Linked DNA regions of Canis lupus familiaris. The protein of the gene in region 2 interacts with the protein of the main gene of each other region in a biochemical or structural test. Links are inferred from orthologs where the notes say so. Each region holds a gene or a part of one and is shown on either strand. Other genes may lie near its edges.

The links.
Region 1: the proteins of TLE4 (region 2) and PAX5 form a complex in vitro, tested with the Homo sapiens proteins (2 studies listed by BioGRID). The link is inferred for Canis lupus familiaris from reciprocal best matches to the Homo sapiens genes TLE4 and PAX5.

The regions. Positions count from the first base shown.
Region 1 is NC_049232.1:53,702,778-53,708,214, reverse strand, and holds part of PAX5 (paired box protein Pax-5), read left to right. Parts: intron 1-3,629; coding exon 3,630-3,827; intron 3,828-5,437. UniProt on the Homo sapiens protein: Transcription factor that plays an essential role in commitment of lymphoid progenitors to the B-lymphocyte lineage. Fulfills a dual role by repressing B-lineage inappropriate genes and simultaneously activating B-lineage-specific genes.
Region 2 is NC_049222.1:79,913,505-79,919,715, reverse strand, and holds the start of TLE4 (transducin-like enhancer protein 4), read left to right. Parts: upstream 1-2,713; 5' UTR 2,714-2,815; coding exon 2,816-2,860; intron 2,861-3,595; coding exon 3,596-3,693; intron 3,694-4,788; coding exon 4,789-4,852; intron 4,853-6,042; coding exon 6,043-6,087; intron 6,088-6,211. UniProt on the Homo sapiens protein: Transcriptional corepressor that binds to a number of transcription factors. Inhibits the transcriptional activation mediated by PAX5, and by CTNNB1 and TCF family members in Wnt signaling.

The DNA.
Region 1 (5,437 bases), on a different chromosome or scaffold from region 2:
GAAGGGGACGAGGACCCTCCCAGGTCCAGCCGGCGGCCTCCCGAGGCCCAGAATAGATTTGTCACTAGGTAGAGTGGCACTCGGAAGTTATGCGCCGCTCCGGTGCCTGGCCGTTTAAGTTGTCAACAATAAATTGGAATTTCATAGCTCATTATTTTCATAACTAAGAACCACAGTGGACAAAATGTCACTCTAATTAGAACTGCCTTTTAAGAAACAAGTTCAGCCCTAAAACAGTGTGACTGGGAATTTCTGAACTGGGGCTGTTCCATCCACTGACTTTTTCTTTCTTTTTTTTTTTTTTTTTTGGTCACCGAAGAATTTGATGGGCACACTCCGAGTGACAGATTATAGAGAGTGTGCTGTGTGTGGTGGCCGTGGTTTTCAGAGGCTGCATGACAAGGCAGGCAGAGTCCCTGGGGCAGGCAGAGACCCCGTCATCTCGGGAAGGTGGCGGTTTGCCAGGAGTGTGGGCTTCAGTCCACAGAGCTCGAGGCTCAGGAGGGGCTCGAGAGGCACAGCCTGGTGGCATGTGAGGCCCATTTAAATCCACCCAGAAAGCCTGGCTCTTGTCTTCTTTCACTGGAGCCTGGCTGGGAGGTTCAGGCCGTTTGGAATTGGGTGGTATGTTACACAGTAATAAACACTCAGAGGATTTTAATCCGCAGCACGTGCTCTTTATGTTTTGCAGAGCTTTTCCTTAACCATTCTGCGTCTCTGCCCGCGTCCTGGGAGGCAGGCTGGGCAAACGTCCTCCCCTTATACAAATGGGGTATCAGAGGCCCAGAGAGGCTAAGTGATTTGGCCAAGGTCACACAGCTCATTAGTGTCAGAGACCCTGACTGACACACCCAGCTCCTTACTCCAGCTTTTACTCGGTGTTTTGCACCGAACTACACGGTGTGTTGGCGGCCGCCGTCTGTCTGTTGTGTGGAAGCCAAAATGCTGCATGGCTATTTTGCTGAGATGAAAGAGCGGTTCTTCAGTCTGATTCCTCACTTTACGCAGTTGCCAAATGGGGTCTCCCCTGGGGTGTCAGGGTTGCCTTCTAAGGGCCTGGCTGATGTGTCAGTCAAAAGGCAGACAGAGAGGTCCCTTGTCAAGCCACGGCCTGGGCCTGCCGTGGTTGGTGCTGCTCAGGTGAGATGGGTGGAGAGCCCTGGGTGCTGCCACCGCCCGCCAGACAAGGGGGGCGGGCGCTGTGGGGGATGCTCTCCCAGCTGCTGTGCCAACACCGCATTCCCATTCCACTCCTACGTTTTGAGTACTCGGCACAAGATTGTCTGTGTGTCTGTAACCTCCACCCCAGACAGTGCCCGTCCTCACAGGCCCTCGGTGGCTAGTGAGTGAGTGAGTGAATGAATGCAAAGATGCAGGTGAACTGCCTGGTGAACGGTAAAACTTTCTACAGTGGCCAGGGGTCATCATCATCATTATTGTTTTCATTTTCACAGTTTGCCCTAGTGTGAAGAGCACTGGATTCCGAATCAGATCTGAGAGCTGACTTCCTCTAACTTCCAGAAGGGAGTTGGGCAAGTCAGTTATTCTTCTAATCATCAGCTTCCCCTTCCATAAAACCCTGCTGGCCCCTTAGGATTGATGTGAGGATCCAGATAATTTGAGGAAGAGCTCTGTAAACTTTAGAGCACTGTGCCTAAAATAAGGAGTTACTGTGTTGATAGTAACAAATGACTTTTTATCATAAAATTGGAAGCTGCTGAAATTGCTGTGTGCCTTGATTGGGGTACCTTCCTAAACTTCTGGCAAAGTAAAAATTTCTTGGATAGTTCTTAAAGCCTGTTTGTCACTAATAATAGTGTTTCAGTAATTACAGAAAGAAGGAGGATAGGTTGGGTTTTGCCTTATGGTCTCTTCTCAGTGAAAAACAGAATTTCCACTTCTGTATTACTGTTCCCAAATTATTTCATCTGTTTCTAGACTATCCACTAACTTTGCCCTAACTGGATTTGCCCAAACTGAGAATTTCAGCATCTCTTTAAATGTAACTAGTCATTGTTCTTGGGTGACACTCCCCATTCTTCCCAGAGGAGAATCACCTCTTTCTCTTACCTATTATAAACTCTGCTAGGTTGAAAAATTACCAGTCATAGGGGTGCCTGTCTGGCTCAATTGGTAGAGTGTGTGACTCTTGATCTCGGGGCTGTGAGTTCCGGCCCCACGTTGGGTGCAGAGTTTACTTAAAAAAAAATTACCAGTCGTTTCTAAAATGTCTCCTTTGCTAGAAAAATTCTCAACAGCAAGATAATCTCCTTTGCAAGAGAAGTCAAGAATTCCTCTGTAAATGTTGAGAGACATCCAGCAAAGGCTCAGATTCAGAAAAGGAATCAAGTAATTTTTTTCCCCTGAAATGATCTTTCACGGCACTCTTCTCCCCGGTCTCGGTTTTACTGTAAAACCCTGACATCCTATTTGTGTTAACGAGGAAGAGCTGATAGCATGGAAATGTCCTTAGAAACAGCGATTTACCTCAGGGGAGGTCCCTGAAAGAGCTGCAGTGACTTGTGGTTGGCTTTTTTTGATTGCTTGGGTTTTTACTTATATGTAACACATATTTCCAGTTAATTCTGGAATGCAACACTCCTTTTAATTTTATACCAGGGTTGTCATATTAATCTTAAGGCAAAAAAGCATGCATTTTAGGGGACATTTTCACAGAATGCAGATGGAATTTGCTAGGGGATGTGAGTGCTGGTAAATTAAAGGTACAAGCCAACTTTCTGGGGAAATTTTAGCTCAGGAGGCTGGGCCTCCATCCTGGTTTGGCTAGTGGGTCTTGTGTGACCCTGGACAGGCTGTTTAACCTCTATGGATCTCTGTTTCATGCCTATGGATGGGGACCCATTCATTCATTTTTCATTCATTTGTTCAAAATATCTATGTGCTTTAGAACTGTTGTGCAGATCAAATGGGAAGGACTGACTTGAAAGTTTTCTGTAAACTGTAAAATGGTAGATAAATGTGATAGATTAATTAATTAATTAATGCATAGCATCTGGACCAACACTATCCTATAGAAATACAACGTGAGCCACATTTGAAATTTAAAATTTCCTGGTAACATTAAAAAAAGGGAAAAAACCAGGTACAATTAATTTTACATATTTTATTTAACCCAGTATGTGAAAAATGTGATTGCATCAGCATGTAACCAATATAAGAATTATTAATGAGATATTTTATGTTCTGTTTTTCTACTAAGTTTTGACAGTCTGGTGTGTATTTTACACTTATAGCACACCTCAATTCAAATAAGCCATATTGGGCAGCCTGGGGGGCTCAACGGTTTAGCGCCGACTTCAGCCCAGGGCGTGATCCTGGAGACACAGGATCGAGTCCCGTGTCGGGCTCTCTGCATGGAGCCTGCTTCTCCCTCTGCCTGTGTCTCTGCCTCTCTCTCTGTGTCTCTCATGAATAAATAAATAAAATCTTTAAAAAAATCAACAACAACAAATGAGCCATATTTCAAATGTTCAGAAGCCCCATATGGCTAGTGGATGCTGAATTGGACAGCACAGATCTGGATGTTTTCCGGACAGAGTAACTATTTTGTTGCAAATGTCCATTTTGCTTGTTCCTCTTGGCTAAGCTCCTTTCTCCTTGGGTCCTAGGTATTATGAGACGGGGAGCATCAAGCCTGGGGTAATTGGAGGATCCAAACCAAAGGTCGCCACGCCCAAAGTGGTGGAAAAAATCGCTGAGTATAAACGCCAAAATCCCACCATGTTTGCCTGGGAGATCAGGGACCGGCTGCTGGCGGAACGTGTGTGTGACAATGACACGGTGCCCAGCGTCAGTTCCATCAACAGGTGAGGGGTTGGTGCCTTGGGGGACTAGGGATCTGGGTGGAGTGGGGCATTCTGGAGGCTCTGTGGGTGCCTTTCCAAAAGATCTGGTCTCTCCATTCATCAAAGCCCCTAAAGGGTTGTATCAGACAGGAGGGGTGCTAATGGGGCTTGGTGGGTCTCTCTATTGCCATTCTTGTCTTTCCAAAGTGCACAGGAGTTCTAGGCCTGGGGAGGGAAGGCCATGTCAGTATCCAGGCTGCTTCAGATTCTTCTGATCCCAGAGTGATTTTTATCTCTCCCTTTACCACCTGCCTCTGTGTGGGGAGCACCTAGCTATGAATTGTCCCAATCAGGCCCTACAAATGTCACTTCCTTGTAAGCCCATGCTCAAAGTCTTAGCACTGGCCTATATCAGAGCTTCCCAGGAATAAAATCCCTGTCTTCAGTTTGGGCAGAGGTTGAGCCATGGAGTGGCTCGAAAATCGAGCCTGGACTTAAAGTTGGGAGATTTAGTTCTTTGTCCCAGCTCTGCCGGGAACTCCAAGTGTGGCCCTGACAAAGCTCCTCCTCTCTTTGAGAGCCCCACACCTTGGAGGTTCTGATGTGGGTCTGTGATCTCCAAAAGTGACATCCAGGACACTAAGATGCTGTGGAGTTAGGGGCTGCCCTCTACCCAGTTACCCTCAATCTCACCCACAGAGAGAAAGAACCAGAGAAATAGCATGAGTAGGTTCCATACCCAGGCATGGGATATTTCCGGGAGCCACATAGGCACCTTCTTCTCCACAATTTGATCTGGGATGTGTCTAAACGGGCTCTCAGAGCTTTAAAAAATTCCCGAGAAAAGGGGCACGTGGGTGGCTCAGAGGTTGAGCATTTGCTTTCAGCTCAGGTCGTGATCCCAGTGTCCTGGAATCGAGTCCTGCATCGGGCTCCCCACAGGGCACCTGCTTTTCCCCCTGCCTGTGTCTCTGCCTCTTTCTGTGTCTCTCAATAATAAATAAATAAATAAATAAATAAATAAATAAATAAATAAATAATAAATATTTTAAAAAGGAGGGGGAGAATTCCTGAAAGAAAGTTTTCTATTGTAGATGATGCAGTCTCAACTCCATCTAAACCCACAGAAGTCAAGGATGAAGTTGTGAGATAAACAGAAATGATTGTTGTCTAAACTCCACGTGAAAAAAAAAAAGAGAGAGAAGCCAGCAGACTGAAAACATAATCAGTTCCTATCTCTCCGAGGTCACACCTGCCCCTTGTCAGGACAGAGCCTGAATGGGCATAGGAGACCCCTGACCCCTGGCTGAAGGAGGTGGTTAGACTAGAAAGTCTCAGCGATCCCTTCCGGGCCCAGCGGTGGTTTCTTCTGCGTTGACTCAAATGCACAGAATCACTGTATGAGAGTGTGTGTTGACGTTCTGAGTCCTGCTGTTTCATTACCGTTAGCCTGTTTTCTTTCTCTCAGCAAATCTTTACCTTGGCCCAGACATCCTGCAAGGTGCTGAGAAGAGAGAGGGGAATTGGGGACACTGTCTCTTAGTCTCTGTTCTAGAGGGGCTTCCTTGTCTAGGATGGGAATCGGGTGCATATTAGAGGTCTGGTCAGCCCGAGTTAGCTGGGAAGGTAAC
Region 2 (6,211 bases):
TTTGCACGGGCCCTCCAGGGTGCCCCGCGCGGGGAGAAGCCCATAGAACGTGTTTGTCCACTGAGGCTCGGGATGTCACCAAGAAGATCGGTTTTGCACTCACGGTGAAGCATCTCTGCCAATGTCTCAAGTTAGAGTAGGCAAACGACACCGAGAAACGAACATCTAAAACGGACCCTTATATTGGTCAACCCTCACCTGGACTTTTCCTGAATTCCTCCACGCCCCCAAAGGTTAGAGCCTCACTCACTAGGAAAGGCTACCAGCCGCGTACCGTCTCCCCGTAAACCAGGGAGCTACCCCACCCTACCCCACCCTACCCCTAGCTAGCTGGAGGAGGACTAAGGAGGAAGACGCTGTCGGCCTCGGGCCGCCCCTTCTCGCCACCGAGTCGGTCCTCGCCTCTTTAGCCGGTTCCCTAAAAATGCGCCCCCACCTGCCTGTGCCCCCGCATCCCCCCCACTCTTCCGGGGCTTATCCCCACGTCGCCGACCCGCCCTCTCTCGTGATCCGCGAGGCCCGGCCCGGTTCAGGCTTGACTTGAAAGAACAGGGAAAAAAGGGGCAGTCTTCTCCCGTCTGGTCCGGGGGGAAGGAGCATCCCAGGGGCGCGTGGGCGCTTCCTGTCCCGTGTCTGCGACTGGTACCTCGTGGACGCTGCCCTAGGGCGCGGTGCGGGCACCCCCTCCACAAAGTTTCCTTGGGAAGAGGGCGACCCTTGCCCCCGGGCCTCCAGCCCCACCTCGGGACTCGGCGGTTCCGCCCCGGGGCCCGCGAGCCGCGCGACTTGGGGTGCTTCCCCGCACAGCTGCTCGGGGAACCCGGCCCCGCGTCCGGGCTAAACGGCAATCACAGCCCCCTCGGGGTTCGGAGGGGCGCCCTCCCGCCCGCGCCCCGGGCTCCCTGCCCGGGTGAGCGTCTCGCAGCTCAGCCTCCCGCTCTAAACAAGAACAGGGGCCCGAGTCTGCGTTCACACGGAAAATTATGCCGGCTCCAGCGGCGCGTAAAATTGATGTGAACCGAACGGAGTGGGATCGGCGTGATCCTCCCTCTCTGGTCTCAACAGGGGTTTCGGCGCGTTACACAAGGCCGAGCTTGTCTCTTTAAGGAGACATTGGACCCTAATTAGTCCGCATTCCTGGCGCGGCCGAGGAGCAAGGGGCTGAGGGTGTTTGGGTTGGAGCGGGGGGCGGCTGGGAAGACGAGACTCGGAAGAGGACCTTCTGACCAGCGTCGAGTCTTACCGCCCCCTCCACCCTCTTTATTTTGCCGCCACCACGGACCGCCACCAACACCCAGTTCTGAGGATGCAGCCAGGGCAGCGGCGGCGGCGGCGGCGGCGGTGGCGGCGGCGGCGGCAGCAGCAGCAGCAGCACCACCACCACCAGCCGCCGCCGCCGCTTCTCCCAGGCCCACGTTACTTTGATTGACAGCTGAACAAATGTTTCCCCGGTTCGAACGCTCGCGCTAAGGAACGTCGGCGAAGACGAAGCTCCGCCTTGGGCGGGCCATCTCCGCTCCGCCTCCGCTAACCCCATCCCGTTCCGTTCATTGGTCCGAACCGCGGACGACGCCCGGCCCCCACGTGGGCTCCAGCCCGGCCGGCTCCGCCCCCCTGGCTCGCCATTTGTCAGCAGTGAAATGATGGGCAGTAACACAGAACGGCGATTAATGTTCAGCCGCCTCTGATTGGCTGCCGGAGACGCCTCCCGCGGCGGGGGTGGGCGGGGCGCTTGGAGAGCGCCCCAGAGCGGTCGCGTGGCGGGCCGGAGATTGTAGTCAATCTGGCCGAATCCTGGACCGCGGTCGCTTGGGGTGGACTACATCTCCCGGGATGCTCCGCGGTCCCTCCACGGACGGTTGTGAATATGTATCAGAATGTTAATGATTAGCTGCTGCTAAATTTGGTCAAAGAAGTCACCTACACAGAGCGTGTTGTTAGAGCTGTTCTGAGCGGGTGTTTGGGCTGTTGGCTGCTTTCTTCCCCCTCTCTCACACACTTGTATATTATTTTGAGGTGGTGTTCGCAGAGTTTGAAAGGAGAGAGAATTAAAAAAAAAAAAGCCGCAAGCGTTTCACTCTTTTATTTTTATAATCCCCTTCAATTTGGGGTTAAAAAAAAAAAAGACAAGAAAACAGGAAGGAAGAAAAATAAGGAAATGAGATGTGGTAAAAGAAGCTAAAAGGTGCCTTTTAAAAGATCGTTGCTGTGAAGTGAAAAAATCTCCAGAGAAACCAAAAAGCACCGCCGAGACCTCTTCCGAACCAAAGGAGTTTGTGTTTGCTTTTAGGAAAGAAGAGAGAGATCATTCATTCGGAGGAATAACAACCAATTAAAAGACAAATAAAAAAAAGTTTGGAGTGGGACGAGCGAGCGGGCGGGCGGCGCTGCCGGCGGGCGCTGGTGCGCGGAGCTCGCACTTTCCCGGCCCGGGGGAGCGGCGCGGCGGCGGCGGCGGCGGCGGCGGCGGCGCTGGGCTCGGCGGGCGCGCCTCGGCGGAGCGAACGGCGGAGCGTTGCCGCGGGAGAGGCGCGCCGGACAATGCCCGCGGCGGGCCAGTGACGCCCGCGAGGAATGCCGAGCGGCCCGGCCGCCCGCACCCAGCCGCCGCCGCCGCCGCCGCCGCCGCCGCGCGTTCCTGCCGCCCGCGTCACGCGAGACCCGGCGGGGGCCGGGACCGCCCGAGCCGCCCCTCGGACCCGGCCGGCCGCCTCCGCCGCCGCCGCCTCCGCCGCCGCCGCCGCCGCCTCCTCGGGGCCCTTAAAGCCAATGAGCCGCGCGCCTCTGCCCAGCGCAGCCAACTAAAGCGGTTTGGATGATTCGCGACCTGAGCAAGATGTACCCGCAGACCAGACACCCGGTGAGTGCGGGCGGCGGGGCGCGAGCTCGCCGGGCGCGGGGACTCCCCGCGTCGCCCCCCGCGCGCCGAGTTGTCCCCCGCACCCGGCGCGGCGGCACTCTGGGGGGGCGTCGAGAGGCAATTGAGTTGTAGCCATTTTCTTATTGTTGTCTTTGAAGCCCCGGGAAGCCGCGCCGAGCCGTTCGCCGGCCCCGCGCCGCGACTCCCCGAGCGGGGGGCGGGGGGCGGGGGGGCGAGCGATGGAGGAGGCGCGACTCCGCGCCGGGGCGGGGAGGGCGCCCTCGGCGGCGGCGCGGCGGGTCCGGCCGCGGCTCCGGGAGTGCGGGGCGCCGGCCCCTCGCGCCGCGGGCCCCGGGGACGCGCGAGCGAGCCCGCCCGCCGGCCTCGCAGGGTGGCGGCCGCGCGTCCCCGACCTGACCGCGGCCGGACGCCATGGCGCGAGTCCCCCCGACGGGCCAGTTTCGATTCCGGGTGGGGAGGGAGTGGGCGCGGCGCGCGGTCTCGAACCCGCGGGGTCCGGGCTGGGCCGCAGGACGCGGGGGCCCGGGGCCAGCCGCTGCCGGGCTGCGCGGCGAGGCGGGGGGGGGGGGGGGGGGGCGCTACCTGAGTTTTAATCGCTCTTTGCCTGCCTGCGCGGTGACCCCCCCGCCCCCCGGCGCCGCGTGGTGTGTTTTCTCCATCTCCCTGCCTCGCCTGCGATGTGGGCTAATTAAATATTTTATTGTTGTTCTTTAGGCACCGCATCAGCCTGCTCAACCCTTTAAATTCACAATTTCCGAGTCCTGTGATCGGATTAAGGAAGAGTTTCAGTTTTTACAGGCTCAGTACCACAGGTAACGATATTGACTCTAGCTGATCCTCCTGTTTGCTTAGCTCTCGTCTCCTCCCCCCCACCCCCCACCCCCAGTTTTTTAGGCCGCCACAAAGGTGATATTATTTTTACTTGTGGGCAGAAAGGGCAAGTCAAGGCCTCTTTTCCTCGGGCAGGTGTAAAGAAATTAAGCATTCCTCCCTTCTCCTGTAAATAAATAAAAAAGGAGGCAGAACAATCGAAACTGGGGAGACTTAGAAAATGCTGAGGCCAAACTTTCGATATTGATTTATTGGGACCAGGAGAATGGAAGGTTGGGAAGATTCTGGGGCCCTTTGACTTCCCTTGGTTCTTTATTACTCCGGGCTTGATTCCGTCTCACTTTTTTTTCTGCCATTCCACTGAAATACCATGAACGGAGAGCCCTGGGAAGTCGCCAGCGAGAGATTTCATTACTTTTATGCTGGAAAAAAAATGTTTTCTTCTTAGAGGCGATCGTTAAGAGTGCCTTCGAAATATTTTTCTTTGCTGGCTTTTTAACGACGTGTAATTTTTATTTCTTAAATTCAAGAGCCAAAACGAGCCACTGAACCCGATCCACACTTTGCCCCTGGGTGGTGGTATTCAACTTGCCTCTGTTTTGGAGGGAACAAATAAGACATCATTCATAAGACACGCTTGATTCATATTTTCGTTAATGTCTTCCCCAAACGTTAAAGAAAAAAAACTCCATTGTCACATTTTGGGGGACCTAAATTTGTGCTTAGGTATGTAGACATTGTTGTTGTTTGTTTGTTTGTTTGTTTTTTCCCCTGGTTTCATTAAATGAATTTAGCAAATGTTCATTTCTGGATGTGGGTCCAGAATTAAATTGGCTAGAGGTTTTTTTTCCCCTTAAACAAAAACCCCACATTTGATCCTCATTGAAAGGGCAAGTCCAGGCTGGTTCCAATCACCCCTTTCTCTCCCACCTCTCCTTCAATAATGAGGGTGCTATTTAAGACAGTTGATTTGGTCTTTTCGTAGGTGATGATTTAGGGGAGGGAATGTGTATTTACATTTGAAGAATGTAAGTCAAGGTCTGCATTATACTTAGATTTCATTATGTCTTGAACAGCCTGAAGCTGGAATGTGAGAAACTCGCCAGTGAGAAGACCGAGATGCAGCGGCATTATGTCATGGTAAGAAAACTGTGTCACAGATTCAAAGTGCCTATTAGTTTAGGATACCAAAAGCAGGAATATGTTCAGATTGCTGGAGGCTGCAGGATAGATCGCAGTCACAGTGCCAGTGTAGTTGAGGTTGTGGGAATGTGATCATTAGCAACCTCGTAATTCTAGGATGTTATAACTTGCCTCTGACAACCAGCTTTGATTTGAATTTTCGAAAAGTTCAGCTGCGTGGGGTATAATCCTCTGTGCTTTGTTTTTAGAGATTGGGGGGGGGAAGAGACCAACCTCGTTTATGTTTTGTTTAGTCACAAGCAAAATGTTTTTGCGTTAGTGGTTTTCTTTGTTGTTTCATTGCCCTTTTTCCAAACAATCTTAACCAATTTTTCTGTATACAGTGAAAATTGTAGTGTTTCATTTCTTTTAGAGAATGATGGCTATCAAAAGACACCAGACACTGTTTCAAATTTTTCTGCTTTTTATGTTCCTAGTGTGTGTGTGTATTTGCATGTGCTTTGTGTGTTTTCAGTTTCTGTGGTGTTACATTGGTTTGAGGAGTGTTGTCGGTCTCCTGTATAACTGATTTGTTCTGCCAGAATTTCTGTAATGACAGTTACACTACACATCCTAAAAAAAAAAAAAATCAGATCTGCTTTTTCAGAAGTCTTACGAAGCATGTTTTTATGCTTGTTCATAAAGGCTCCAGAGTAACTCATTCATTTCCTATCAAGACTTTTTTCCTTTCAATGTATGAACATGAGCGCTACACTAAAAATGAGAAACGGAACTCTGAAGTAGCACCACCTTTCTGAACAGATCTCTCAGAGCATCAGTATTTGTATAAGATGCTTGTCATTAAGCTTGTCCACTGTGCCTAGGAATTAGAATCCATATGGTACTAAATTTTCATCAGATCTTTTTGATTCATCTGCTTGTGATGTATAAAGACAACTGGAGATGTTAAGAATGCTACATGTGAACTTGATTTTCTTAGTTTTGTGAGTTATTCTCTTAGACTCTGTGTCTTAGGGTAGCTGCTGGTTTATTAAGCTAAGTGTTCCTCCTTAGCGGCATAGGTATTATGGATATTTTGCTTTAGGTGAGGCTTTTATGTTTGCTTTAAACATACTTTTGGGGCATTTGGAACAAACTAGGGAGACTGATGAAAGGCACGTAATTAATTGCTTTCCCTTCTTTGACAGTATTATGAGATGTCCTATGGGTTGAATATAGAAATGCACAAGCAGGTAAGTTATTTTTTATAACCGTTTGAAATGACGTAATACTGTGCACTTTAGAAAGAAAATTGTATGTTTTGCAATTTTATTCTGCATGTTTTTGTGACTTTCTGTATTTTAAAAGATCACTGGA